Linked DNA regions of Stegostoma tigrinum. The protein of the gene in region 2 purifies or fractionates together with the protein of the main gene of each other region. This does not show direct contact. Links are inferred from orthologs where the notes say so. Each region holds a gene or a part of one and is shown on either strand. Other genes may lie near its edges.

Region 1 (7,320 bases), on a different chromosome or scaffold from region 2:
TCACGTAGCACATTGGTAACACATCAAACCAATGGAACAGTAACTTCTTTCAACTCAAGTCGCACCCATCATCACCAGCGGTGCCGGTGGTCCAGCTCAAAACGTGCTCTCCAAAGGTGAATTTCAACCAACTCTTCAACTTTAAAACCAGGTGTTTCCGAAGTGCCAAAGAGGGCACCAGCACAAATGTTTCACAACACATTGTGTTTTCCTTAAATCTTAGCTTCAACTGTTTTCATCTACTCTCAACTGGGTGTGCAGCTTGCGGTCTTTGACATGGGGCTGCTTCTGAAGAAACGAAGATAGATTACAGAATCAGCCTAGAGCTGCTAAAAACACCTCAATTGCAGTGTGGCTAGGTACATGAAAGATTGACATACTACACGAGTAACATCAGATCGAGCTGCTCTGTCTGAAGTTGCAGCGAAAAGGTTAGCCTACCTTGCACGGGGAATAGGGACTCAGAGGACATGTCACCCTAACCTACAAACATGCAAATCATTTTATAGCAGCATGAGCACAGCTTAGAAGGTGCTTTTGAACTGGTTTAATGCTTTTAACCCTCAACATGCAGGTCTCTTGCAGCCATAACAACAAAGCAAAACCATTAAAGTCACGCGCCAGTGATGCCCGGTTAAATAAACGACAGGACATCCCGCCCACACAACTTCACAAGCCTGGTACATCTAGTACAAAACAAAACGCAAATTGCAGGAGAAACTCAGTACGTCTGGCATATCCATGGGGAGAAAACGCAGTTGACGTTTTGGGTCCAATGACCGTTCCTCAGAACTGGACTCAAAACGCTAACTATTTTTTCCTCTCCACTTATACTGCCAGGCCTGAGTTGCTCCACCAATTTGTTTTTCTGTCAGATCTTCAGCATCCACAGTTCCAAGTTTCATCTTAGAGTTGATCAGCCTCACAATATTCACAGAACACAACACACAATTCATATAAAGGGAGAAAACAATATAACTTGTAAAACTTGAGAAACAGCTTATTTGGCAGCAAGTACTTGTGCAACACAAGTCAGTTTACAAACTAACAACACTGCAAGTGTGCTCATTGTAGTGAGAGTTCTGCACATCCCAGCACAGAAACAGATTTCTTACTAAGCACTGTTTCCACTGCAATTTATTCACCCTGTGCACACCAAGGACACATCCTTCTTGAAACACAGCTACACAAAGTTTCATGAAGTGCTAACCACCCGCGATATCATCATACATGATCAATATTGCAGAATTCAAATAACTCCTGAAAATTGAGATGTCTTTCAACCTGACCTGTCCCTTCACATCCACTTAATAAGCCCGAGAGTGGAGCGAAGAATGGGGACGGAACAGGGAGACCAGAGCTCAAACATCCCAAAATCAATTCAGGTAGGTTTGAATAGGCTGGTAAGTACTTTTGGCCTGTACTTACAGAAATCAGATTATTAAATTCAGGAGTGGATGTGGTAAGAATTGCAAACTATTTTGATGTGGAGGGGGGGGCAAATAACCACTGGTTGGGGGGGGCAGCGTTAAGAATAACCACTGTAATGGGGGGTGGGGGGGGCAAATAACCACTGGTTCAGGGTGAAGAATAACCTCTGTAATGGGGGGTGGGGGGGGGGCAAATAACCACTGGTTCAGGGTGAAGAATAACCTCTGTAATGGGGGGGGGCAAATAACCACTGGTTAGGGGGGGGGCAGGGTGAAGAATAACCATTGTAATGGGGAGGGGGGGCAAATAACCACTGGTTCAGGGTGAAGAATAACCTCTGTAATGGGGAGGGGGGGCAAATAACCACTGGTTCAGAGGGAGGGGAGTAATCAGGCAGGAGGGAAACAGGTTGGGGAGGTCACATACTGGTGTGCGGGGGGTTCTGGCAGCATAATAGCTAAACAAGGAGGCATAATAACTGAATTTGAGAGTGTATTACTAAATGGGGGTGGGTGCAGTAATTGAATGGGGGCAATAATTACAAGTCAGAGCGAAGTATTAGAATTAGGTTTATTGTCACTGTGTGGCTGAGGGGCAATAAAAACTGACTGGGGGCTGGGATGGGGAGTGCGAGAGGAAGGGGATTTGGGAGAGGAATGGAATACCATAAAAACACTTGCTCCCAAGCGTGATAGATGCTCGCCAATGAGGATTGCAAAAAAAAATAAAAGTTTGCTGGGCTGGACAAATGGGCGCTGCTTGTGACAGAAGACAACGAGCCCCTGCGCAGGTAGACAGCATGTCCAGCAAGGCCACTCACATTTCCTCATGCACTTCATCCAGTGCTTGACGATGGAGCTGTAGTGTTTCTTGTTGTCCAGGATCCAGGACGACAGGCCCTGGATGCCGTCCATCGTGTTGGTGACCGTCAGCAGCTTCTTCTCCAGCGCAGCCTCCAGAGCTGCCAGGGAGGAAGACGAGCCGCTGGGAATGGTGGAGGTAGTGGATGATGACGACGAAGACGATGCTGCTGAAGAAGAAGAAGAAGCGGCCACGGCCGGCCCTCCCGCTGCTGCTGCTGCGACAGCCGCCATCTTGCTCCCTCCGCTCTCGCTCTCCCTCGCTGTTTGCCCCGCCCCCACCGAAGCAGGTGACGTGCGCGGCGACGCAAGACGCGACTGCGCGCACGCACAGGCGACGCCAAAAGGGGAACGGGGAGGCGGAGGGAGGGGGGCACACGCACGACGCTGTTCGTGGGGATGGGGGGTGGTGATGACGGCGCACCGAGCGAGAGCACGTGATCTCCTTTGCGACGGAGCGTGCGCGGCCTGTCGTCCGGCCCACGTGACCTCCCCTCCCCCACCACCAGCCGAGAGACGACGGTTACTTTCTCTCTCGATCGCTTCACTTTCTCTACTGTCCTCACCTCCGCTTTGATTTGGACAGGACGGAACGGGGGTTATGAGGGAGGGGGAGGAAGGTAAAGTGCTGGCAAACACCCGCCCAACCAAGCTTCTCTTTCCCACCACCGAAAAGTGGAAAAAAATCTCCCCGATTGCAAACGGGGTTCTTCCTTTTCGTCCCCTGCACCCCTTATCGCGAAGGCGACGGGAGGGGGCGGGGGTACGAGACCGTTAAGTGGGCGGTTCGGCCCCGCCTCCACCCTCAGCGCGCAGGCGCAGACGTCGACACCACGCCCGTTTCAGCCGACTCTTCCTCAGGCTCCTCCCCCGACCCTAAGACCCCGCCCACATTCCTCAAGCCGCGCCCGTTTGCGCTCAGGCTCCACCCATTTGTTTCAGATCCATTCCCCTTGTTTGCTGCCCGGTCGCTAACCTTCAGGTCCCGCCCATTTGCCGTCAGATTCCGTCCATTGCACGGAGAACACGCCCCTTTCCCCAGAGCCGCCTTTGCGTACTATCCCACAGAACACGCCCACTTTACAACAGACCCCTCCCCCTACCCGCGGACTCCGCACAACACTTCAGAGCACACCACCTTGCCACTAGGACACGCCTCCTTTTCAACAACTCCCCAATCATTTCCCTTCCGAAAGGCCCCGCCCCTTCCCCTTCGGAACACGCCCCCTTCTCAACACACCTCCACACCTTTTCGTCAGAACACGCCTTCTTTCCCTAAGTCGAATAACCATTTCCACTCCCGCTCCCATTCTTTAGATGACATGTCCATCATGGGCCTCCTGCACTGCCACAATGATGCCACCCGAAGGTTGCAGGAACAGCAACTCATATTCCGCCTGGGAACCCTGCAGCCATATGGTATCAATGTGGACTTCACCAGCTTCAAAATCTCCCCTTCCCCCACCGCATCCCAAAACCAGCCCAGTTCATCCCCACCCCCCACTGCACCACACAACCAGCCCAGCTCTTCCCCCCCACCCACTGCATCCCAAAACCAGCCCAGCCTGTCTCTGCCTCCCTAACCTGTTCTTCCTCCCACCCCAAGCCGCACCTCCATCTCCTACCTACTAACCTCATCCCACCTCCTTGACCTGTCCGTCTTCCCTGGACTGACCTATCCCCTCCCTACCTCCTCACCTATCTTCTTTTCTCCATCTTCGGACCGCCTCCCCCTCTCTCCCTATTTATTCCAAAACCCTCACCCCATCCCCCTCTCTGATGCAGGGTCTAGGCCCGAAATGTCAGCTTTTGTGCTCCTGAGATACTGCTTGGCCTGCTGTGTTCATCCAGCCTCACATTTTATTATCTTGGATTCTCCAGCATCTGCAGTTCCCATTATCATTGACTCCCTGGTGAGCAAAGAGGCCATTCAGTCCATCAAGTCTGCACTGGCTCCAAAGATCATCCCACCATCCTGTCCCTGTAACCCTCGATTTTATCATTATTCCTTTCCACACGTGACTTGAAACACTGGGTGTTTTAACCATCCCAAAGTCACAGTTGCAATGCACCAAGTGTGGCAGTTTTCAAACACCATTTTCCCAAAACATGGTTAAATAAGCAAGTAAGCCAAGCAGCATCTCAGGAGCACAAAAGCTGACGTTTCGGGCCTAGACCCTTCATCAGAGAGGAGGATGGGGAGAGGGAACTGGAATAAATAGGGAGAGAGGGGGAGGCGGACCGAATGTTTATTTCGGGTAGATTTCTTTCTACACACACACACAGAGTTCCCATTATCTCTAAATAAGCAAGTAATTGGCTGAAGTATTGGAATGTGCTTTTAACTATCATGCCAGGATACCATGAAGAACTTACCTGCTCTTCTCCAAAATAAGGCAGTGCTCAAAACAGTCAGCCAATCATCTGCATGACGAGACCCCACCATGGGGTAACTCAGAGTGCCAAACCCTCAGCACTGACGCCCTATCATTGCCCGCTCCCTCAACACTGATGCTCTGGCAGTGTGACAACCCACAGCACTGAGCCTCCAAACAGTGCAGTGCACCCACAGCACTGACGGTACAAACGTACAATAATGCTACACTCCCTCACAACTGAACCTCTAACAGTGCACCCCTCCACCAAGGTGGAACAGTTGTTCAGTGGTCAGAACTGTCCCCTCATAGAACCAGGGGCCCATGTTGGGTTCCAGCCTCTGGTGACTGCCTGCGTGGAGTTAGTACATTCTCCCCGCTGTCTGCGGGGGTTTCCAACAGGTGCTCCCGCTTCCTTCCACAGTCAAAAGATGTGCAGATTAGGGTGGATTGGCCATGGGAAATGCAGTGTTATAGGATAGGGGAATAGGTTTGGGTGGGATGCTCTTCAGAGGAACGGTATAAACTCCATGGATCAAATGGCCTGCTCCTACACTGTGTGGATTCTATCAGTGCTCAAACAGTGCACTGCTCACTTAGTATTTTATCACTTATAAATGCCCAGTCAGCTTTGAGCCCACAAGCATCAAACTTGAATGATGGGGCTGCTACCAACTGACATGATGTGAACAAGATTTCAAGGCTAGGCGGCATATTTTAAGTGTGAGGAGGACGACGATTTGGAAAGACATGAGGGGCATTTGTTTTTTTAAACAAAGAGAATGGTTCACATATACAATGAGCTTCCAGAGGAAGAGGCAGACATGGACACAGTTACAATGTTTAAAAGACTAAGCACATGAAAAGGTTTGGAGGGATATAGGCTAGGAGCAGGCAGGTGGGACTAGTTTAGTTTGGATTTATGGTCAGCATGAACGAACGAGTCTGTTTCCATACTGTATGAATCTACGGCAAAAAAAGAGCGACACACTGGGGCATGGATGATGATCAGGTGGTACCTTTGGAACGCAATTCAGGGAGCGGCAGCTGTTAGCTTGACAATTGCCAAGGAAACACAGTTCTTAGTTGGCTCAAACTACAATCTAACAGAAGAAAGCATCGTTAAGTTGATCTGCATAATTTCCAATGGGCACTGGTATTTGTTTTGTAGGTTAATTTGTTCTGGTCCACCTGGTCTATCCAAATCTTACCACCCACTTCAATGTGTTGTTGTCTTGCCTCACCTATGAATGCTGGCAACCTAGCTAGGCCCCAACTCATGCAGCATGAAGATCAAACCTGGAATCTTGCTGCTCGGTGGCGCAGGCCACCGTGGATGGGTTGCTGCCAAGTAAAGCCATCTGAACAGGGTGAATGGGCTTGAGTTACAGGTCAGTCATGATCCAGTGCAACAGGATTGGGGGTGATGAGGCTCCAGCAACAAATGACCTCTTCGCTTTCCTATGGTAAGAAGACATTGACTCCACTGACAAGAGGCCGCCCAGACAGAAGTGAAGCTGTTTGGGTGTACTGTAAAACAAGGATAAATGGTGACAGCGTCATGGAAGCCATCCTCCAATCCATGGACTCCACTTAACACTTCTCGTTGCCTTGGAAAGGCAGCCCATATCATCAAAGCCCTCCCACACCATTAATGCTCTCTTCCAATATCTTCCATCAGGCAGAAGGTACAGAAGCATCTTCTCTGTTGTTATTAGACTGCTTAATGGACCTTTCTAATTTCAAATAATGTTGATCTTGCTAATGCTGATTTTTGTGCACCTCCTGTGAAGTCATAACCTTGTATGCCTTGCTCTGTCTAAGCACACTATGATTTGTATGTCCTTGTTTGCTGTGATCGGCCTGTACTGCTCATTAAACAACACTTTTCAATGTACTGAGGTACACGTGACTACGATAAATCACATCAAGAGGCAACTGTGCTACACTGCTGCCAAGGACACAAACTTCAGAACACTGCACTGACACTTTAGAAAAAAAATAATTAGTCTTTATTATGAAACTCCAAGCTGTAACCCTCTACAGCACTGAAATCGTATCTGAGCAGCTTCTCTTCTTTTTACAGGCTGTTAACACACTCTTTGAGGTTCTCACTTGAAAGGTAACAATCAGCTGTTAATGGGAGATTATTCAGGTTGAGCACAGGACATAAGGGTAGAATGAGACGGTCACCTTGAGATATGTCAAGGAATGCCAGCAGTTGTCAGAGTGTCAAGTTCAGGACATGGCAGAAGTGGGACAATTTCGCACATTAGACATCACTCCCCGGAGTCAGCATTGCATCATCTCAGAGCTGTTACAGCAGGGGGTTAGATAACGATTAAAACTCCTTCTACACTGTCTGCCTCCATCAATCACTCCTAGGACAGGGACAGCACAGAGTTAGCTTCAGAGTAAAGCTCTGCTACACAAAGAAACAATCTGTCTTAACCTCAGCATCAGAAACAGGACCACTGCAGCACAGAGAGCTCTCACAATATCCTCAGGCTCAAGTACAAAGTGCAGTAAAAATCCTGACCACACTGGGCTATCCTCCAAACCAGGGGCAATCCAGCCTTCAGACCAGAGAGATTCCAACCCACCTCTCTGTGGCCAAGTCAGGGTCACTCCACTGCAGTGAGCATTCACCTCTT
Region 2 (7,018 bases):
TGAAGACATTAGAAGACGTATGGGATAGAGTCATACGGCATAGAAAAATACCTTTCGGTACAACTAGTCCACGTCAACCATGTTCTCAAACTAAACTAGTCTCACTCGCCTGTGTTTGACCCATAGTCTCTCCAATTCCAAATCTAATGCTGACCTCGCTGTGCGCATCCTGTGCGGATGTAACCTGTATGCCTCCATCTCTGTAGGCGCCCCCTGATCCGTACGTCCTTGTTTTCTACGATCCACCTGTACTGCTCATAAAACTTTTCACTGTACTTAGGTATGTGTGGCAACAATAAATCAAATCAAACCTTCCTCCAAACCTTTCCGAGACTCTTAGATGGCGACGGGGTGAGGAACTTTCAGTTTTGTGGATAGGTTACAGAAGTTGGGTCTGTTGTCATTAGCTGGAACAGGTCTACTGCATCTCAAACTTTGAGACAGTTTTTACACCACAGAAAAGGCCCATTATGGCCACACACACTAGTCAAACAGCTACTTCCTCCAATTCGACTTCCCAGCTAGTGGCCAGTATGCTGTGACTTTTCAAGTGCTCATCCAAATACTTCTTAAATGTCTTGAGGGTTTCTCCCTCTACCTCCTTTTAGGCAGCAACTTCTGGAGAACCACTACATTTTGGGTGGGAATTCCTTTACATTCCGCTTGGGAACCCTGCAGCCCAATCGTATCAATGTGGACTTCACCAGCTTCAAAATCTCCCCTTCCCCCACCGCATCCCACAATCAGCCCCCACCTGCAGTTATTGGCCCCTCTGAACAGAAAAGCCTTCGTTCATAACTCAAAATCGGCAATAACCTTACTGGGCCACAGGTCTGCTCTCTCATTAGGGAGAGGATTAGGTTTAAGAATAACCCAAGGACCTCACAGAAATGCAGGTGCGGCTTGAGGTGGGAAGAGGCGATAGGTGAGAGGAAGAACAGGTTAGGGATGCGGGGACGAGCTGGGCTGGTTTTGGGATGCAGTGGCGGGGAGGGGAGATTTTGAAGCTAGTGAAATCCACATTGATACCATTGGGCTGCAAGGTTCCCAAGCCAGTGACCCAAGTTTGATTCTAGCCTCAGGTGATGGTGTGTTTGGAGTGCGCATGGGTTTCCTGCAGGTGCTCCAGTTTCCTCCCACACAGTCCAAAGATGTGCAAGTGAGGGTAGACTGGCTGTGCTAAATTGCAACACAGTGTCCAGGATAGGTGGGTTAGCCTTGGAAAATGCAGGAGTTACAGGGATAGGGTAGGAGAGATGGCGAGGGGGGGGGGGGGGGGCGTGAGAGAGAGAGAGAGAGAGAGAGAGAGAGAGAGAGAGAGAGAGAGAGAGAGAGAGAGAGAGAGAGAGAGAGAGAGAGAGAGAGAGAGAGAGAGAGAGAGTGAGAGAGAAAATGCTCTTCAGAGGGTTAGTGTAGACTCAATGGGCCGAATGGCCTGCTTTCACACTGTAAAAGGTGTCTGTGATCTTCCATGGTAACCTCAGCTGATGTGGGGACTGAACCTGCACTGCTGACATCATTGTGCATGGCAAGACAGTCACCTGGCTAACTGAGCTAACACATCCTACTTTTGTTTCAGATTTCCAACAGCTGCAGAACTTTAGATAACAAAGTGTGGGGCTGGATGAACACAGCAGGCCAAGCAGCATCTCAGGAGCACAAAAGCTGATGTTTCGGGCCTAGACCCTTATACTGCATCCGCTGTACACAGTGTGGCTTCCTCTACATTGGGGAAACCAAGCAGAGGCTTGGGGACCGCTTTGCAGAACACCTCCGCTCGGTTCGCAATAAACAACTGCACCTCCCAGTCGCAAACCATTTCCACTCCCCCTCCCATTCTTTAGATGACATGTCCATCATGGGCCTCCTGCACTGCCACAATGATGCCACCCGAAGGTTGCAGAAACAGCAACTCACATTCCACTTGGGAACCCTGCAGCCTAATGGTATCAATGTGGACTTCACCAGCTTCAAAATCTCCCCTTCCCCCACCGCATCCCACAACCAGCCCACTTCTTCCCCTCTCCCCACTGCACCACACAACCAGCCCAGCTCTTCCCCCCCCACCCACTGCACCACACAACCAGCCCAGCTCTTCCCCCCCCACCCACTGCACCACACAACCAGCCCAGCTCTTCCCCCCCCACCCACTGCACCACACAACCAGTACAACCTGTCTCTGCCTCCCTAACCGGTTCTTCCTCTCATCTATCCCCTCCTCCACCCCAAGCCGCACCTCCATTTCCCACCTACTAACCTCATCCCACCTCCTTGACCTGTCCGACCTATCCCCTCCCCACCTATGCTCTCCTCTCCACCTATCTTCTCCTCTATCCATCTTCGTCCACCTCCCCCTCTCTCCCTATTTATTCCAGCTCCCTCTCCCCATCACCCTCTCTGATGAAGGGTCTAGGCCCGAAACGTCAGCTTTTGTGCGCCTAAGATGCTGCTTGGCCTGCTGTGTTCATCCAGCCTCACATTTCATTATCTTGGATTCTCCAGCATCTGCAAGTCCCATCATCTCTGAGCTGCACAACTTTGCTTCTTTGAATGGACAATGAAACACACCTTCCGCCTACGCCCCCTCCTCACCATTTGCTGAAACAGCCATCAATATGAGCAGGCCTCCGCCCACCACGGCGCCTATAGGTCGGGGTGCGTGTCAATCACAATGACGACGCGCATCAACACGTGATTGCACGCTGGCGCGTTAGCGGCCGCAGCGTCATCTGCCCTGCCCCCACCCTAACCGCTCGGTTGTCACCGTCTTGCCCTCCCGATCCGCGCGACACGGGCCAAAATGTGCCACTCACATGATAGAACATCGCCGCGACAATTTAAACGTTCTCTAAAGAGGGGGCGAAGTGGTGTGTGTGAAGTAACTTCTCTCAACCCGGAAAGAGCCAACCGTCCACGCACTAGCCGGCCGCGGTTCTGAACGGCGATTTGGTAGCTGAAGCGGCGTGCTTGGGGGGGGCAAGAGGCGGTCGGCGACGTGGTGGTCACGTGCCAACTGACGCCGAGAGCGTCACGCGCCTTATGCCCGCCCTCCTTGCCACGTGACCCTCCACGCATTTTCCGTACGTCGTCCGTTGGGATGGGCGGGCGCCATTTTCCTCCCTCAACCCGAGGAGGCGACGAGACCCTCTCCGGTCCGCACCCAAATATGATCTCCGTCTCCTGTCAGGATAATTGCTTGCCACCCGTCTTCATGTCCACCGTCAACATACACATAGAATTTAAGAACTAGGAGTAGGCCTTGTGAACTGCCACGCCATGGAAGCTGACCTCAATCCCAAGGCTCAACGTCCATTTGGTTGCTCTGTTTTGCCATAATCCTTCAACCTGTTAAACGGTTGAAAACCCGTCCGTGTCCGCCATAAATATACTCAATGCCCCAGTGTCTTTGCGCAAATGAAGTTTTAGTTTGGAGAATTATGCTGCATGGAACTCTAAATGTCCAAGAATAGTTAGAGGATGAATAAAAGACTTCAAGTATCTATCCATTTTTTTTGTACATATGGCATGTACCCTATTGCATGCTTATCTTGTGGAGAGTCATGGAATTCTTCTTACATTGCAGAAAGAAGCTGTTCATAAATTAGAATCCCTATAATGTGGAAACAGGCTATACAGCCCATCAAGTCCACGCTGTTACTCTGGAGAGCATCCCACCTAGTCTCTCCAGTCGACCCCCTCAACTCCACATTTCCCGCGGCGAAGCCACCCTGCCTGCCCAGCTCTGAATAAAATTGGTCAATTTGGCATAGCCAGTCCACTCTAATCTGCACATCTTTGTCCTGTGGAAGGAAAACAGAAGGAAGCACCCAGAAGAAACCCCTGCGCAGACACGTGGAAATTACACACACAGACAAGTCACCTGAGGGTGGAATCGAAACTGGGTTCCTGGCATCCTAAGGCAGCAGGTCTGCCTCAAACCAGTACTGGTGTCCGCACCAATAACGGAAAATCTAGTTGCTACTCAAATTTCATTTCCTGGCATTTGGTCCACAGCCTTAGACCATAGGTCCTAGGAGCAGAGGCATGGCTCTTCAGGCTATCGTGTCAGTGAGATCACAGCTCATCTGATAACCTTCAACTTAGTTTTCCTGTTTTTTTCCCATTTCTGTTCATTTCCCATACTGATTAAAAATATATCTATCTCGGTCTTGATCCAACATCTACAGCCCTCTAATGAGTTCTACAAATTCATTGCCCTCAGAAGAAACTCCTCGTCATCTCTGTCTTAACTGGCCGACCCCTTACTCTGAGATTATGTCCTATGGTCCTAGACTCTCCCACAAGGGGAAAACAGCCTCTTCGCATCCACCCTGACAAGTAACCTAAGAATCTTCTATGTTTCAATAAGGCCATCTGCATTCAACTAAGTCCAATGAGTATGAGCCCAATGTCTCAACTTCTTGTAGGATAATTCCTCTGTACTCGTGGTCAACCTAGTGAAAATTGTCTGGACTGCTTCCAATGCTAGAATATGTTTAATTAGGTAAGGGGACCAAAACTTTTGCAGTATTCTAGCTGTGTGCTATAGAGTTGCGTGCTGTGTCATCAAATGTTCATTTGAACTGTTCTTAAATGTCTTGACAGGTACTGCCTATATCACTCTTTTAGGTGATAATGGGAGCTGCAGATGCTGGAGAATCCAAGATCGGCCTAGACCCGAAAGCTTTTGTGCTCCTGAGATGCTGCTTGGCCTGCTGTGTTCATCCAGCTTCACACTTTATTATCACTCTTTTAGGTAATGAGTTCCAGATACCCACCACATACTGGGTGAACAAAAAAAGCCCTTAAATCTCCTCTAAAATTTGTGCTCCTTACCTTAAAACTGTGCACCCTGCTTATTGACATCTCTATGAAGGGAAATTAGTCTCAGTGTGTACTCTCTACGTCAGTCATAATTTTGTACCCCTCATTTACGCCTCCCCTCAACCATCTGTGCTGTAAGAAAAACAATTCTATTCTACTTAGTTTCTCCTCACAGCTGAATCTCACCAGATCAGGCAATATTCTGGTGAATCTCCTGGAGAAATTAAGAAAACTAGTCTTTTCACCATCTGCAAGTCAGCAATGTCATAGAATATCCTCCACTTACCTGGATTGAGATGGGGCTAACAACACTGAAGCAGCTGGACACCATCCAGGACAAAACAAATGCAAACTACTGTGGATATTGGAGATCTGAAATGAAAACAAAGTGCTGGATAAACTTAGCAGGTCTGACAGCCTCTGTAAAGAGAGAAATAGAATGAACATGCCAAATCCAGTGTGATTCTTCCTTTTGAAATGCTTTCTCAGCAACCCATCCCACCACCTTCGACATCGCATCACTGGCTCCTTCAGCACAATCCAAAATTGCAACTTTTACCACTGAGAAGAACAAAGGCAGTAGGTGCATGAGAAGTCACCTCGTGCAAGTTTCTGCCCAAGCCACATCACCATCCTGAATTGGAACTAAATCGTTATTCCTTCATTGTTGTTGGATAAAAATATGAAATATCCTCCCAACCATCACTGTTGGTGCAACACACCACACAGACTGCAGCAATTCAAGAGGGTAGCTCACATCCCATCATCTACAGAGACATTTAGAGATGAGAGATATGCTTGATGTCCATATCTGTTGAACAAATGCAAAATAAAACATCTAGAAACCACATAGATGAAAACAGAAGTTGTTGGAATAGCTCAGCAGGTCTGGCAGCATCTTGTGACGAAAAAAATCAGAAGTTTGGACCCTCTGAAGAAGGGACATTGGACCCAAAACATTAAACATGTTTGTTTCTTCAGAGATGCTGCCAGACCTGCTGAGCTTTTCAAGCAATTTATGTTTTTGTTCCTGGTTTACCGTATCCACAATTCTTTCTGTTTTTATTCAGAAACTCCATGGCTCAGGTTTTAACATAAATGGAAATGACTGAAATCTTTTAGAGGAAAGATTATTAGTGGTCTAGGGAAGTAAATTACTTATATCAGCAAATCTGGCACCAGGCTGTTGTCATCATGATCTGATTCTACTTAAACCACCAGCAGTTCAGGAAGGCAATATACATATTGAAAACAAAAACCCTCAGCCAAGCCAAGGTAAGAAGTCAATCTGCACTACAATACTTCTCAGCCCACTGAAACCAATTAAAAAGATTGGAAGGACCATGCTATTTTACTTGTAGTATTTCATCTGCCTTTTATAAGACCTTGAAGTTAAAAGACAGAGGGTGGTGGAGGGTTATATTTCAGACTGCAGGCTTGTGACCGCCGGTGTGCCACAAAGATTGTGCTGGGTCCACTGCTTTCCATCATTATATAAATAATTTGGATGCAAACAAACGAGATATGGTTACTAAGTTTGCAGTTGACATCAAAATTGGAGGTGTAATGGACAGTGAAGAAGTTACCTAAGAGTACAATGGGATCTTGATCAGATGGACTAATGGACCAAGGATTGACAGATGGAGTTTAATTTAGATAAATGTGAGGTGCTGCATTTTGGAAAGGCAAATCAGGGCAGACTTAAACATTTAATGGTAAGGTGCAAGGGAGAGTTGCTGAACAAGGACACCTTGGAGTACTGGTTTATAGTTCCTTGGAAGTGGACTGGCAGTTAGGATAGTGAAGAAGGTGCTTGGTATGCCTGCCTTTATTGGTCACTGTATTGAATATAGGAGTTGGGATATCATGTGGCTGTGCAGGACGTTGGTTAGGTCACTTTTAGCATTCCCTTTACTGCATTCAATTTTGGTCTCCCTGCTATAGGCGGGAAGTTGTGAAACTTGAAAGGGTTCAGAAAAGATCTATAAGGATGTTCGCAGATTTGGGGGGTTTGAGCTATTGGGAGAGGCTGAATAGGCTGGGGTTATTTTCCCTGAAGCATTGAAGGCCGAGGAGTTACCTTATAGAGGTTTATAAAATCTTGAGGGGCATGGATACGGTAAATAGCCAAGGTCATTTCCTCAGAATAGGTAAGTCCAAAACTAGAGGGCATAGGTTTAAGGTGAGAGGGGAA
Region 3 (7,165 bases), on a different chromosome or scaffold from region 2:
AGTGCTCAACCAATATCATTATCATATTCCTGTTTCTTAGGTTTCTCAGGCACAAATTTGCTGCCATGTTTCCTACGTTATAACAGTTACTACACTCATTTTTTTTAAAGTTTCGAAAAAACTTCATTGGCTGCAGACTGCTTTGGGATGTCTGGTGCTTATGAAAGGGCTTTAAAAATGTGCTTATTGTTTGTCAGAAGTATCATTCAGAAGATAGCCATGAAGACTGCAGAAAATACAGGAGAAACATTGAGAGAGTTAGGGCAAGGTGGGAAGGAATGATCACTACAAATGTTATGGCAATATTAAGTTGAAGCTTAAAATATTTTAAAATGCAAGTTTAAACACATACTTATGACTTAGTAAGGACCAAAACATCCTTCATGGAGAGCCACAAGGCACAGCCATAGTAATAAATTAGTACTTTGCATCTGTCTTCTAAGAAAGCAGACAATAAGAAAGCTGCAAAAAGCCTTGTAGAGAGAAAATATGTTCTTAAAAATTATCATTCCGTAAAGGTAGTTAAGTCACCTGGTCCGAGTAGAATGCAGATGGCATTGTTGAAAGAAGCAACAATAGAAATAGCAGAGACAGTCACAATTTTTCAATCTGCATTAGATACAGTTGTGGGGGAACTGTAGGATTATTAATATTAAACTCAGTATTCAAAAGGAGGGAGAGGATTAAGCCAGGAAATAGGTTTGTTATTTGACAAAATAAGCTTTCATTCAAAAAGGTGTGCGCTAATCAAGCTCAGCCAGCACAAATTTGTTATGAACACATTAACAAGGAACAAGAACAGTGCATTCAGCCCTTCGGACCTGGTCTGCCATTCAATAAAATCACGACGAATCGGTTTATAATCTCAACTCTAACTTCCCGCATATCCCAGATAAACTTTCAATCCCTTGTAAGCAAAAACCTACCTAAATATCTTTGGTACACAGGTAAAGATTCTGCATTCACTCGAAAGGAATTGCGAAGGTTTAACCCTCAGGGATTTTGAAAATAGTGTTTTCTCTGCTGTCTTAAGCAGGCAACCTCTTACTTTTAAACCCTGACTTCTTGTTCTAGATTCTCCCACTAGTATCTTCAAATTCAGTTACTACACCTGCAGTCCCTTTATCGAAAGCATTTCATCAATTGTAAAGAGTTAAGCCCACAGCACCAAACTGTGGTACACACATGACATCCTGCCAGTTTGAAAAAGACCTATCAGCTCTTACTGCTCACTTGTTAGCCAGCCCATGTTCTATGCTTACCAATGTTATCATCTACACAATCCCTGATTTTTGAACATTCATAGTAACAAGTGCGATCCCATACAGGGGTATACTAGCAATGATTTTAAAGATCTGACATACGAATGCCTCCTCATATTTATGAGTTATTGATATTGCCCTGCATTGTGTACCAACGTACACAAATAGATATGTAGATGGATTCAAGAAAGTAAGTTATTCACAGTCTGCACCTCCTTAATAAACTTATCAAATGCCTCTTGGAAGGACAATTACAACACATTCAATGTTCCTGCTGTCTACAGCAGGTGTTACTGCTTCAAAGATGGAAGGCAAATGTGCCAAACAAACGTGTACCAGACCTTCCTCTTGTTTTCTTTTAACATAAGTTGCCCGGACTAAGATTAGGGAGTAGCATCATAAAACATGCAGTGGATGCAAAATGTGGCAAAGTAGTAGACGGCAGTGAAACCAGTGGCAGTCTCCATCAAGATAGGATGGTAAAATGGACAGACGTATGGCCAAGTAAGTTAAACATGAAGGTGAACTGTTGCACACTGATCAATGGACAGAGTAAATTACAAGATTTTGAAAATCAATGACCAGCGAGACACCTTGGTGCCGAATTGAATAAACCCATAAAAGTGGTTGAAAAAGTATGATTAATTGAACTCATACAAGAGGAATAGATTAAAAAAGAAAAATCACACTAGCACATTATAAATCACTGCAGTGATTATGTTGGAGTATTATGGGAAATTTTACAGATGAGGCGCTTTGGCCCATCATGTCTGTACCACCTGAAATACACTATCTACACTAACCCCACTGTCCCACACTAGGCCCACAGCTTTGAAAATTACAATGCTTCAAGTGTGCATCCAATTTTTTTTTTAAAAAGGTAAGAGTTTACTCATCTCTACTATCCTTCCAAGCATGAAAAAACAAATTTAGTTTACTGCAGAAGCAAACCCACTCTGAATTTTGACACAGGCACAGTGTCAAGTTTAAACTTAGTTTGCACTATAATCAGTGCTTAAAGCAAGAGCACTGTTTCAGCTATATCAGATGGGACTGTAACAACTTGATACAAGAAAATGTCAGGTAAACTCTGCAAGTGAACACATACACATTACCAACAGTAGGCTTCTAAGTACTACTTTTGCCTCTACTGAATAAGAATCACATCAGCACTACACAGATGCTCAGGATGGAGTTAAACCAAGAGAAGTAAAATACCTCAGCACATTTGAGATTCAAAGCATGACATTTCTGGTTCATAGGCTGAAAGCGTGCCATTATAGATTTCCACCTTGTCAACCTAAACCAAATTACAAACATACAAAAAAGAATAGGACAAAATGGCCCATCAAAATTCACACATCACTGGTACCAACCATATCTCCAGCCTTTTAATAAAAATTCAAGCTCTTTTCCAAATCCTGGCAGCCAATCCCCGTACCGTATTCAACAAATAACAGTCTCCTATAGCAATTATTCTTTTAAATTGTCACACCCCGCCTATTACAAGATTCATCCCTAGTACCCAAGATCTGACCACCTTTTATTTTCCCGAGACTATCCACCCACAGTACCCAAAACTGAATTATCTGTTTGAGAGAGAAATTGCCACAGGAGACGTCTGAACAGACTTCTTACCTTTCTTGACAGTCACCCATCTATCTGACCGATCCTGCTGTGAAATCACTTCTGTAAATCTACTAGGCATCTGTCTCTTGTATGCCCTCAATGTCATCAAGCTTAAAAAGCAGCTTTCAACAGTACCTTATATTTTCCCAAAGAATACTAAGCATGCAAAAAAAAGAGAAAATCAAACATTTAATCTTAAATAAAATCAACCACTTAGCTGAACAATCAAATTAAAAACTCCTCCTCAGGTAGTCTAGCAGACAGCTTTCAATCCATTGATTAAAAAACTCACCCCAGAGCCATCAACTTGTAGGTCTTTCTGAAAGCTCTAAAAACACAATTGTTTTTAAAAAATCCTCCTCCGTGATTTAAATAAATCTCTTCAGCAATGTTTTAAAAGAATCTTTCCTACATGTATAACTTTTTTAGCGTATAATTTTTAAAAAAATACTTGAGCTATCCATTCAAAAGCTTCTCCGAAAGCTCAGCAAACACTATTTGGAAAAAAAAGTGTTTGCTTTTTGGATTTTTGACTACAAAAGAACCAACATAACTCAAAATAAAAATTTTTACTACATTTCAATAGTATACTATAAGAAACCTAAAAGAAAGTTTGCAAACTCAGGAGCAGCTACAAGATCCACGCTACTGTCAGTTCACCATTTTTATTCTTCGTTCCAACCTCCACCTCCCCACACCTCCAAACACAGAGATTCTGTGTCAGCGAGCACGAATCTAGGATAAGATGTTGTTTCTCCTAGAGCAAGGATTAAGGGCTTCTCAAAATGTTTAAAGCATACTGTTAAAAGGGTCAGTGAGAAGCTGGAAGTTAATGTACACATTCGTAGGAATGACATAGTTAAGGAAAAGATTAAGGCTTTACAGACTGAATATAAGAGGTTAGATAGAACATTTAAAAAACTGAACCTCAAAAGCAGTACCCTCCAATTTAATTCCATTAACAAGTTTGTATGAAGGAAGAAATAAAAGGATATAGGACATAAATCAATGGCTGAAAAAGTGATGTAATATTCAAGGATCGAGGTTCTTGGAACATCGCGGACTTCCTCTTGTGCAGAGAAGACCTGTTCAAAAAGAATGGGTATCACCTGAACCGGAAAGGGATCAATATCCTTGTGGAGAGATTTACTATGTCTATTAAGGGAAACTGTAAACTATTAGAGGGATAGAGGGATCTTAAGTAACGGATCAACAGAAAGATGGTTCTGAATCTGAAAAGAACAATTAGAAAAGACAGTAAAACCCCAAAGAATGAAGTAGCTCTGAAGAATTAAACTGCATTAAATTTCAGTGCAATGGGTCTTAAAGATAAGGTTAACAAACTGAGGACACGTTAAGGAACGTAGGATTGTGATGTAACAGCTATTATGAAATGGCTGAGGGACAAGCAACTCCATGCTCCGAGTTTCAGATGCTAGATGAGATGTAGCAAGGGAGGTGGAAGGGGGGGGAATCTGGCTTTTTTGATTAAGGAGAATATTACTACCACAACTAGAAAAGATATTTCTGAAAAATCTTCTAGTGAAAATGCAAGTTGATATTTCTCTAATGAAATGGACACAATAAGGCCTGTAGACTGGGAGCCACAGTCTATAGATGAAAGGTTTGAAAAGCATTGTAAGTCCAAAGATGTGCAGGGTAGGTGGATTAGCCATGCAAAATTGCCCATAGTGTTCAGGGAAATGTAGAATAGGTGGATTACAGGGGATGGGTCTGGGTGGGATGTTCTGAAGTTCTGGGTGGACTTGTTGAGCTGAAGAGCCTGTTTCCACACTGTAGGGGTTCTAATTCGAAGGTCAGGTAGCATCTGAGGAGCAAGAAAGTCAACGTTTCAGGCCAAAACCCTTTGACAGGACTGAGGAAGGTGCAAGACAGGTTAAATAGAACATTAAAAAAACAGAACCTCAAAAGTAGTAACTTCTGATTAGTCATATTGACAAGCTTGTATGAACAAAGAAATAAAAAGGTAAAGGACATAAATCAATGACTTTCCGGCTGCTCAGATGCTGCCTGACCTGCAGTGATTCCCAACCATACACCTAATGACACAGAGATAATGGGAACTGCAGATGCTGGAGAATCCAAGACAACAAAATGTGAGGCTGGATGAACACAGCAGGCCAAGCAGCATCTCAGGAGCACAAAAGCTGACGTTTCAGGCCTAGAACCTTCATCAGAGACGGGGATGGGGAGAGGGTTCTGGAATAAATAGGGAGAGAGGGGGAGGTGGACTGAAGATGGAGAGAAAAGAAGATAGGTGGAGAGAGTATAGGTGGGGAGGTAGGGAGGGGATAGGTCAGTCCAGTGAAGACAGACAGGTCAAGGAGGTGGGATGAGGTTAGTAGGTAGGAGATGGGGGTGCGAGGAAGGGATGGGTGGGAGGAAGAGCAGGTTAGGGAGGCAGAGACAGGTTGGACTGGTTTGGGGATGCAGTGGGTGGAGGGGAAGAGCTGGGCTGGTTGTGTGGTGCAGTGGGGGGAGGGGACGAACTGGGCTGGTTTAGGGATGCGGTGGGGGAAGGGGAGATTTTGAAGCTCAAGAAGTCCACATTGATACCATTAGGCTGCAGGGTTGTAAAGAATGGAGGGGGGAGTGGAAATGGTAACCATTTCTTTAGATGACATGTCCATCATGGGCCTCCTGCAGTGCCACAATGATGCCACCCGAAGGTTGCAGGAACAGCAACTCATATTCCGCCTGGGAACCCTGCAGCCTAATGGTATCAATATGGACTTCTTGAGCTTCAAAATCTCCCCTTCCCCCACCGCATCCCTAAACCAGCCCAGTTCGTCCCCTCCCCCCACTGCACCACACAACCAGCCCAGCTCTTCCCCTCCACCCACTGCATCCCCAAACCAGTCCAACCTGTCTCTGCCTCCCTAACCTGCTCTTCCTCCCACCCATCCCTTCCTCCCACCCCAAGCCGCACCCCCATCTCCTACCTACTAACCTCATCCCACCTCCTTGACCTGTCTGTCTTCACTGGACTGACCTATCCCCTCCCTACCTCCCCACCTATACTCTCTCCACCTATCTTCTTTTCTCCATCTTCGGTCCACCTCCCCCTCTCTCCCTATTTATTCCAGAAGCCTCACCCCATCCCCCTCTCTGATGAAGGGTCTAGGCCCGAAACGTCAGCTTTTGTGCTCCTGAGATGCTGCTTGGCCTGCTGTGTTCATCCAGCCTCACATTTTATTACCTAATGACTCAATTAGTTTTAAAGTAGTTATGGAAAAGGAGAAGCTTCCCATAAATGTTCAAGTTTTCAACTGGAGTAAGCAAATTTTAATGGCATGAGACAGGAAATTTCAAAAGTTGGTTGGAGAAGATTATTCACAGGGACTGTCAGTTCTGATGTAACACGTTAGATCCATTCTCATGCAATCCTGCATTATAAGAAAATGGTGCAGTAGCCACACCACTTAAACTAATGGGGCCAGAATCGCATTATAGCCAATGCAGGTAAAGAAAGGTTGCATACTACAAATAGCAGTTTAAATTCTTCAATCACGGTGGCTCAGTGGTTAGCACTGTAGCCTCACAGCACCAAGGACCCGGGTTCGATTCCAGCCTCGGGCGACTGCCTGTGTAAAGTTTGCACATTCTCCCTGTGTCTGCGCGGGTTTCCTCCAGGTGCTCCGGTTTCCTCCCACAGTCCAAAGATGTGCAGGCTAGGTGGACTGGCCATGCTAAATTGCCCGTAGTGTTCAGGGGTGTGGGGGTTATAGGGGGATTGCTCTGGGTGGGATGCTTCAAGGGGCAGTGTGGACTTGTTGGGCTAAAGGGCCTGTTTCCAAACCGTAGGTAACCTAATCTAATCTAATGTTAAAGCCAATTTGCATTGAAGAAACATGTTGTTATAGCAGAGCCGACTGTAAAGGGACGACTGGCAACTGAGCAGCTTTCAAAAGTTTGAAAACAACAGTGCAGAGTTATGATGCTCCGGTTAAGTTAAGGTAACACTGGCAGGACGAGGGAACAATGGATGACTAAAGATATTGAGGTTCTAGTCAAGAAAGGAAACAAATTACATATAGGCAACTGGGCTCAAGTGAATATTGAACAGTATAGCAGCAATCTCAAGATCAGGAAGGCAAAGAGGGGATATTGAGATAAGTCTTGGCAGATAAGGTGAAGGATAATACAAAGCGATGCTATAAGGAAGAGAGCAGCTAGAGAGAGAGCAGGGGTCATCTTTGTGTTGAACCTCAGGAGACAGGAGAGATATTAATGTTTTACACCATCAGTTTTGA
Region 4 (7,214 bases), on a different chromosome or scaffold from region 2:
TACATTTCTCAAAATTAGTAGGGCTGATACTTTTTTTGCAAGCAGCTCAGCATTTTCAGTTTTCATTCAATTATCTAGTAAGACCCTGTGAAGATAGGGATAATTATCTGCTTTTTATTCATTCGTGGTATGTAGGCAATGGTGGCTAGGTCAGCATTTATTGCATATCCCCAGTTGCCTAACAAAGGTAGTGGCGAGTTGCTTTCTTCAAAAGCTGCAGTCTTTCAGGTGTGCAGACATTCATAGCACTGTTAGGAGGGGATCTCCAGAATTATGAACTGGTTAAATGAAGGAGTAGTGATATATTTCTTAGTCAGGAAGGTGTGTACCTTAGAACTTGGAAGTGGAGAGATCTCCATGCATCTGATTCCCTGTCCTTTCCAACTTGTAGAGTTTGAAGGTTTGGAAGATGTTGTTGAAGAAGCCTTGGTGAATTACAGCATCTTGTAGATGGTATCGTGTTGCCATTGTGCATCAGTGGTGAAGGAAGTAAATGGGTGAGCTGCCAATCAAGCCAGCTAATTTGTCCTGGACGGTGTCAAGCTTAACTGCTATTTCACTTACACCCAAGTTTTACAACACAGTTCTGTCTTGTTTCCCTAATGCATGCCCATCATCTACAGGGGTTGAGTCACTCATCAAAACATTCCTAGTATCTGACCTATTCTCGTAACTACTGAATTTATTTGGCTGGTTCAGCTCAGTTTCTGGTCAGTGACAAACCCTAAAATGTTCACTGTGGAAGATTCAGCAATTCACGATTAAATAGCAAGGGGTGATTGTTAGATTCTTTGTTACTGGAGATGGTCATTGCCTGGCATTCATGTGACATGAATGTCACTCGCCACATAGGAGTCCAAGCTGGGATATTTTCTAATCTTATTGAAAATGGACACTGGTTACTTCAGTATCTGAGCTTAATTTTATGTGATCATATACGAATATCCCCGTTTCTACCCCAATAATGTGCAAAGCGCATACAGTCTTCACATACTTTAGCTGGAAAAGCAAATTTCAAAACATCATATTTTGCTTAAGTTTTCAAGATGAATTGCAAAGTCATTAGTCAACTCACCTGCCAACACAGGATAGTCAAAGTATTCTGCAGCAGGGTCAAGGTTCACCACCTGCACAGATCGATTCAACACCTCACAGTGCTGCTGCATCGTGGAACAGTAAGTACTCTGAAATTAAAAGTGACAAATCCACCTTCAAATTGCATGTAAAATATATAAAATGAAAGAACTCAAAATCTCAAGTATCTTTCTTTTATAACTTAATTCTAGCTTGGTAACTAGAAATTTGTAAACTCTTTAACAAGAATATGTAAATCGTAGAATCACGGAATCCCTATGGTTTGGAAGCAGGTAATTTGGCCCATCGAGTCCACACTGACCTTCTGAAGAACATCCCACCCAGATGCAGCCCCCCTCTCTATCCCTGTAACTGCATTTCCCTCAGCTAATCCAACTAGCCTACACATCCCTTAACACTATGGGCGATTTTCCATGGCCAATCCAGCAAAGCTGCGCATCTTTGGACTGTGGCACAAAACTGGAACACCCAGTGAAAACCCACGCAGACACGAGGAAAATGTGCAAACTCCACACAGACAGTCAGCTGAGGCTGGAATCAAACGCATGTCCCTGGCACCGTGAGGCATCAGTGCCAACCACTAAGCCACCATGCTTCATTTCACAGATGAATCTAGTAATGTTCATCAGTCTACATATATTTAGAGGTTTGGTTTAGTAACGAACTTTGATTGCTTCAAAAAGATCAGACAGTATCATTTTACCAATCTAACGATAGTTACTTCCAAAACCTACCATATAATCTTTTGCAGTCACAAAGCATAAAGAACACAGAAGCATATTGTAAAACAATTCCATCAGGAGGTTCAAATTATTTTGTCCCAAATTGTTGTATAAATCATAAAAACAAAATCCAAAATAAGATTATTGTAATCACCAACACTTTTATAACCAAAAATATTGGGTTTTTTAAGTATTTGTACCAAGGATCAATTAAAACAACACAGCCAAAGAAGTTGGCACAATGATTTACTAGATATAATTTTCTTTAAGTCTGTTGACCAATAAAATTCATGAACTGCATTAAAATAGCCTTTCCCCATTAAAGAAGACATATAAATCAGAGTTAGAACACCAGCAATGGAAAGCTATTATTCTGAGGGCAGCCTGGACAGATCAGAATTAATTCTATGGGAGAGAGAGTAGGATTCAACACTTTCAAAACAAAAAAAAATTATGACCCATAAACAGACATGGTTGCTGCCTTAGGTGCTAATCAAGGCTCATCACTTTCAAATTATCAATTAAAGTGTATACAAGGGTGAAAAAAAAAGATTCCTAACAGCATTGTTGGAAGCATGGAATGTTTGAATACAAAGCTACAGCGAATAGCAAATTTTAATCAAAAATTGATAAATATTTGAAGTAGAGAGAAATGTGGAGTTTAGAGAGAGGGTGCAACGTGGTGGAATTACTCAAAACATGTCAAAAGGGGTACAAACTTTCATAGCTCTAGTTACAGGTTTTGTGAAAACTTCTTTAGTCTCATGACAAATAAACACATTTACAACGAATTAAGACCATTGTACGAATAAGCGTACAATATTATGATAACAATCTTTAATATTGCGGGAGGTTCCCTGACAGTATTACAGCTAATGATTATCAAAAAATCAAGGAGTCTGTTTTGGCCAATCCCTTTACGGCATAATTTTCATATTTTTCACACCAGTGCGCTAAATAAAAGCACGCTCTTGTTATTGCCGAGATCGAAATGCCGTTAAATACCTTCCCGCTGCCGGCAGGCCCCATCACAAGTTGAGCGAAACGAGGCATCTCTCCTGCCACCTTTACCCATAAACTACATAGATAGAGATCCGGGTACCCACACCGAAGGGTCTAGACCCGAAACATCAGCCTTCCGGCTCCTCGGCCTACTGCGTGCATCCAGCCCTACACCTTGTTCGCCCACATCTACTACTTTCTGGTTACGGAAGCCCCTTTGGAATTAGGTTACGCTCCTCCCGAAACGCGCATTTCGAAATGTTCACATGAAGCTCGTTTTTCTAACACTTAGAGTTAATATCGTCCCTTTAACTTGGTAACATTTTCTTTTCAATCCTAAACACTAATTCTTTTATTAAGGAAATGACATAGGTTCCTTTATAAAGCATGTTTTACCTTAGTTTAAATTAAACGCTCTTCAGCCGTCTTGAATTCATGATTTAAAATTAGAATACATAAGGAAAACCCGAAGGAAACAGTTTATGACTGCTAACTCGTACTCCAATTTACCTGACTTTTAGACTAAGATTTATAGAAAGCACAGAGCAAGTTCCAATACTTCACAGTAAAATTAGACAAAATAGGAACAGGATAGGCCGTTCAGTCCCTTGAGCCAACTTTTGCCATTCAGTAGGATCACAGCTGATAAAAACGCTCTTAATTTCCAGTCTCCTGCCATTTAGCATAAAACCTTGATTCCTCTGCTGATCAAAAATCAATCTATCCCAACCTTAAATATATACGAGAACTCTGTACCCTGGCAAGACGTTTCATTAGTTCACAACCTATATGAAATTCCTCCTCACCCCGAATGCCAAGGCTATGACCTCTGGTCTTAGACTCTCTCATGAGGGGAAACATCAATTGTTATTTATTGTAAGTAATTAGATTACAGCTACAAAGAGAAAAAGGTTGGCATTTAACACCACTCACTAAAATTCTTATCCCCATTTGAACTCTCCTTTATACACACACATAGACAAACAAATAGGGAAAAGATTATTGGAGGAGTTGGAAGAAAACTGGAAAATCAGTTCAGTAGTTTCTGCTTCTTGATTCCAGTGTTGAGATTATCCTACTTTGTCTTTATCTAAAAGCTTCCATTGGTTTGTAAAGAGTGTAGAGTGACTGATTCAGTTAGAAAATGTCTGATTTATCAGTTCAAAAGTCACAGATGACAGCAACTGCTACAGGATAGGTAACTGCTTTTCCTCAATTTAAAACCAACTTTTTTTCTACTGCAGAGAACAGGCAGCTTCTGGTGGGAAGAACAACAACACATTTTCTGTGGTCAGAGACAGTAAGAACTGCCAATGCTGAAGTCTGAGATAACACAATGTGGAGCTGAAGGAACACAGCAGGCCAGGCAGCATTAGAGGAACAGGAAAGCTCCCAATGGTCTCAATATGGACTTTACTAGCTTACTATGGTTTTATTCTCTCTAATTTTCACTCTCTGTGGTATTCTTCTCAGTGTGTCTGTCGCTGTTACTTTTCTCCAGTTCCAACCTGCTCATTTGGCTGATAACCTATCAGCTTTGTAAACAACTCCTCAGTTCTTTGTCACCTCCAAATTGCAGGAACTCAAAGCCACATAAATACACAGCATTTACAATGAGAATTCCATTTCATGCTGTGAAATCATGCAACTATGGTGGCAAATCCCTGTTTCTAAAAACAGTACTTCCTCATTGCAGTCCACAATTTATAAAGACACAAAAATAAAAAGATTGATTCTTGTAGTATTTACATGGATAGAGTTTATAGTGTCTTCTTGAGGTTTAACTAGATGCTTTGTTACTCCAGCTCTAATGCAAAATGTTAAATCTCACTGAAATTTGTTGAAGGCATGCATTCTGCATCTCAAATCAAAATAACACACTTCATGAAGACTGTGAACCTTTAAAGAAACATATTTATGAAGAGCTTTATTTCATTCACTATAAACGTTGAAGATATCGACAGCATTTTCGTTATTGTGTGAAGTTAAAAAAAAGCAGAAGAAATAATATCTTTCGTTGGAAATTGATCTTCAACCTTTCAACTCACAATAGCTTCTAATTGTTCTGATAGATGAGTGATCAGCAAGGAGTGCACACAGATTTTGTTATCTCATACAATATGTTAAACCAAATCTTGATTTTCAGATGCAATAATAAACATGATAGCAAGGTTTTAAACAAGTAGATCAAGTCAAGGGATTGTAACTACAATTACTGCCTAATGCTGAAATTATCACTGGGTAATATTACAAAAGTGGCTATTATCTGTTTAAAGAATTCACTTATTAACATATAAAATATGAGTAGCTGCTGATTGGAGAATATATACTACAAATCAAGTTTACAAATGGCTATGGTGCTCAGATTTTAGTATTTTGTTTTATGACTTGTATGGAATAATTCAATTCATATGTTCATAATAATGTTCTTCAAAACTTTTAATATGCAATTCTTAAGTTTTGTCATATATTTAACTAAACAATTAAACCAAAACTCAAAGCTATTCATATTAGCTGGTCTTGCAGGACTGGAGGGCATAGATTTAAGGTTTAGAGAAATAGATGCAGGGGGATATGATGAAGAATTTTTGTGGAGCCAGTGATAATAATGTGGAACTTGCTGCCTACAACAGTAGTGGAAGTGGAGACAATTAACTGTATTAAAAGGAAATTAGATGGCCCTTTAAGAAAATAAACTTGCAGGACTATACGGCAAATGCAACAAGGGAATAAAACTGATCAGATTCCCCCAATCAGAGCTGGCATGAAGCTGATAGTTGAAATTGCATCCTTCTAGACTGTAATTATTTTTATGACTGTATTCATTTTCAGATAAGTTTGTTTTTATTCATTTCTGGGATGTGGCCATCACTGGCAGGCCAGCACTTATTGCTCATGGATGTGAGTTTGCTCGCTGAGCTGGAAGGTTCGTTTTCAGACGTTTCGTCACCATACTAGGTAACATCATCAGTGAGCCTCCGACGAAGCACTGGTGTTATGTCCTGCTTTCTATTTATCTGGTTAGGTTTCCTTGGGTTGGTGATGTCATTTCCTGCGTTGGTGATGTCATTTCCTGTTCTTTTTCTCAGGGGATGGTAGATTGGCTCCAAATCAATGTGTTTGTTGATGGAGTTCCAGTTGGAATGCCATGCTTCTAGGAATTCTCGTGTGTGTCTCTGTTTGGTTGAACACATTTTCTGTTGATATTCATGAAGAGAAATAAAATTTGAATTGTTATAAGTACCAATTAATATTATTCTTGCGCTATTCCTGGATAAATTCAAAGTGTTTTTATTCTTAAGTGCCATACTGAGTTCACAACCAATAATAAATTTTGGTTGCCCAAGTAACAATATATCCAGCAAGTATCTCTAATGGTTAGGCCTAATTAATTTTTACACCAACAACAGAATAAAACTAGCAAAATCTCACAAAATAATTGCCAGTGCCATGTTTATACCAATCAAGATTTCACAACTACTTAACTAAGTATTCAGCTATCACCTTTTCAAAACAATGCCTTTCTTACCTGACCATAGTATAAAGATTTTTTAAAAAACTTTCTTCTCCAGTTAGGACCGATGCTGACTTACATGCATTGGACATCAGAGGTCTTCCAGTTTCTCAATGATGTGACTGCTTTTGTGCAATTGCACAAGAAGCAATGGCTGACTTCAAACATTAAAGACATCCCACCCAAGGACTGATCCTGTTGTTGTCTGACATTTACATACATGCATCTTCCAAATCTAAATGAACAGCAATAGGAAGCAAAAACAAGATTTATATTGCAACAAGAATGGATTTTTTTTGTAGTGTAGGACTTGTATGTTTGGCATGCATATTGCTTAAAGGTGGACATAGTGGTAATTCTAAGATGAGTTCGACATAACACTATAAGAAATAGGAAGAGAAGTAGACTATAAGCCCTTTGAGCCTGCTTTGCTATTTGATAGCATTATGACTTATCCAGTATTCCTCATATCCAATTGCTGCCTTCTCCCCATTCCCCTTGATTCCTCTACTGATCAAAAATCTTTCTCAGTCTTAAATATGAATAACTCTGTCTCTACCACTCTTTGTGGCAAGAAATACCAAAGTCTCACAAGAAGAAATCCCTCCTCATCTCGGTCTTACACTGGTGTCTCTTAATTCTGATACTGTGCCCCTATGGTCCTAGACTCCCCACGAGGAGAAACACCCTCTGATCATCAATCCTGTCAAACACCTTAAGAATCAGCTGTCAGTCAGCTAAGAGCTAAGGCTGGAAGTCAGAAACCGCTGTCTCTTCCAAATAAGGCATATATTTGGATGAAACATTCAGGTTTGCTCACATGCATGGATAATTCCAAATAAGGCATACAGTTGGCACAGAGACTTGTATATAAAGACCCA

The links.
Region 1: the proteins of polr2g (region 2) and regulation of nuclear pre-mRNA domain-containing protein 2-like purify together in Homo sapiens (affinity purification with mass spectrometry; 3 studies listed by BioGRID and IntAct, counting the BioPlex papers as one, with this or other methods). This does not show direct contact. The link is inferred for Stegostoma tigrinum from reciprocal best matches to the Homo sapiens genes POLR2G and RPRD2.
Region 3: the proteins of polr2g (region 2) and gtf2b purify together in Homo sapiens (affinity purification with mass spectrometry; 3 studies listed by BioGRID and IntAct, with this or other methods). This does not show direct contact. The link is inferred for Stegostoma tigrinum from reciprocal best matches to the Homo sapiens genes POLR2G and GTF2B.
Region 4: the proteins of polr2g (region 2) and gpn3 purify together in Homo sapiens (affinity purification with mass spectrometry; 3 studies listed by BioGRID and IntAct, counting the BioPlex papers as one, with this or other methods). This does not show direct contact. The link is inferred for Stegostoma tigrinum from reciprocal best matches to the Homo sapiens genes POLR2G and GPN3.

Annotation. Positions count from the first base shown.
Region 1 is NC_081400.1:2,610,806-2,618,125, reverse strand, and holds the start of regulation of nuclear pre-mRNA domain-containing protein 2-like, read right to left. Parts: upstream 3,019-7,320; 5' UTR 2,526-3,018; coding exon 2,252-2,525; intron 1-2,251.
Region 2 is NC_081395.1:6,055,787-6,062,804, reverse strand, and holds the start of polr2g (DNA-directed RNA polymerase II subunit RPB7), read right to left. Parts: upstream 3,018-7,018; 5' UTR 2,826-3,017; coding exon 2,814-2,825; intron 1-2,813. UniProt on the Homo sapiens protein: Core component of RNA polymerase II (Pol II), a DNA-dependent RNA polymerase which synthesizes mRNA precursors and many functional non-coding RNAs using the four ribonucleoside triphosphates as substrates.
Region 3 is NC_081361.1:89,377,442-89,384,606, reverse strand, and holds the start of gtf2b (transcription initiation factor IIB), read right to left. Parts: upstream 3,015-7,165; 5' UTR 2,921-3,014; coding exon 2,901-2,920; intron 1-2,900. UniProt on the Homo sapiens protein: General transcription factor that plays a role in transcription initiation by RNA polymerase II (Pol II). Involved in the pre-initiation complex (PIC) formation and Pol II recruitment at promoter DNA.
Region 4 is NC_081379.1:24,206,140-24,213,353, reverse strand, and holds the start of gpn3 (GPN-loop GTPase 3), read right to left. Parts: upstream 3,017-7,214; 5' UTR 2,871-3,016; coding exon 2,823-2,870; intron 1,185-2,822; coding exon 1,076-1,184; intron 1-1,075. UniProt on the Homo sapiens protein: Small GTPase required for proper localization of RNA polymerase II (RNAPII). May act at an RNAP assembly step prior to nuclear import.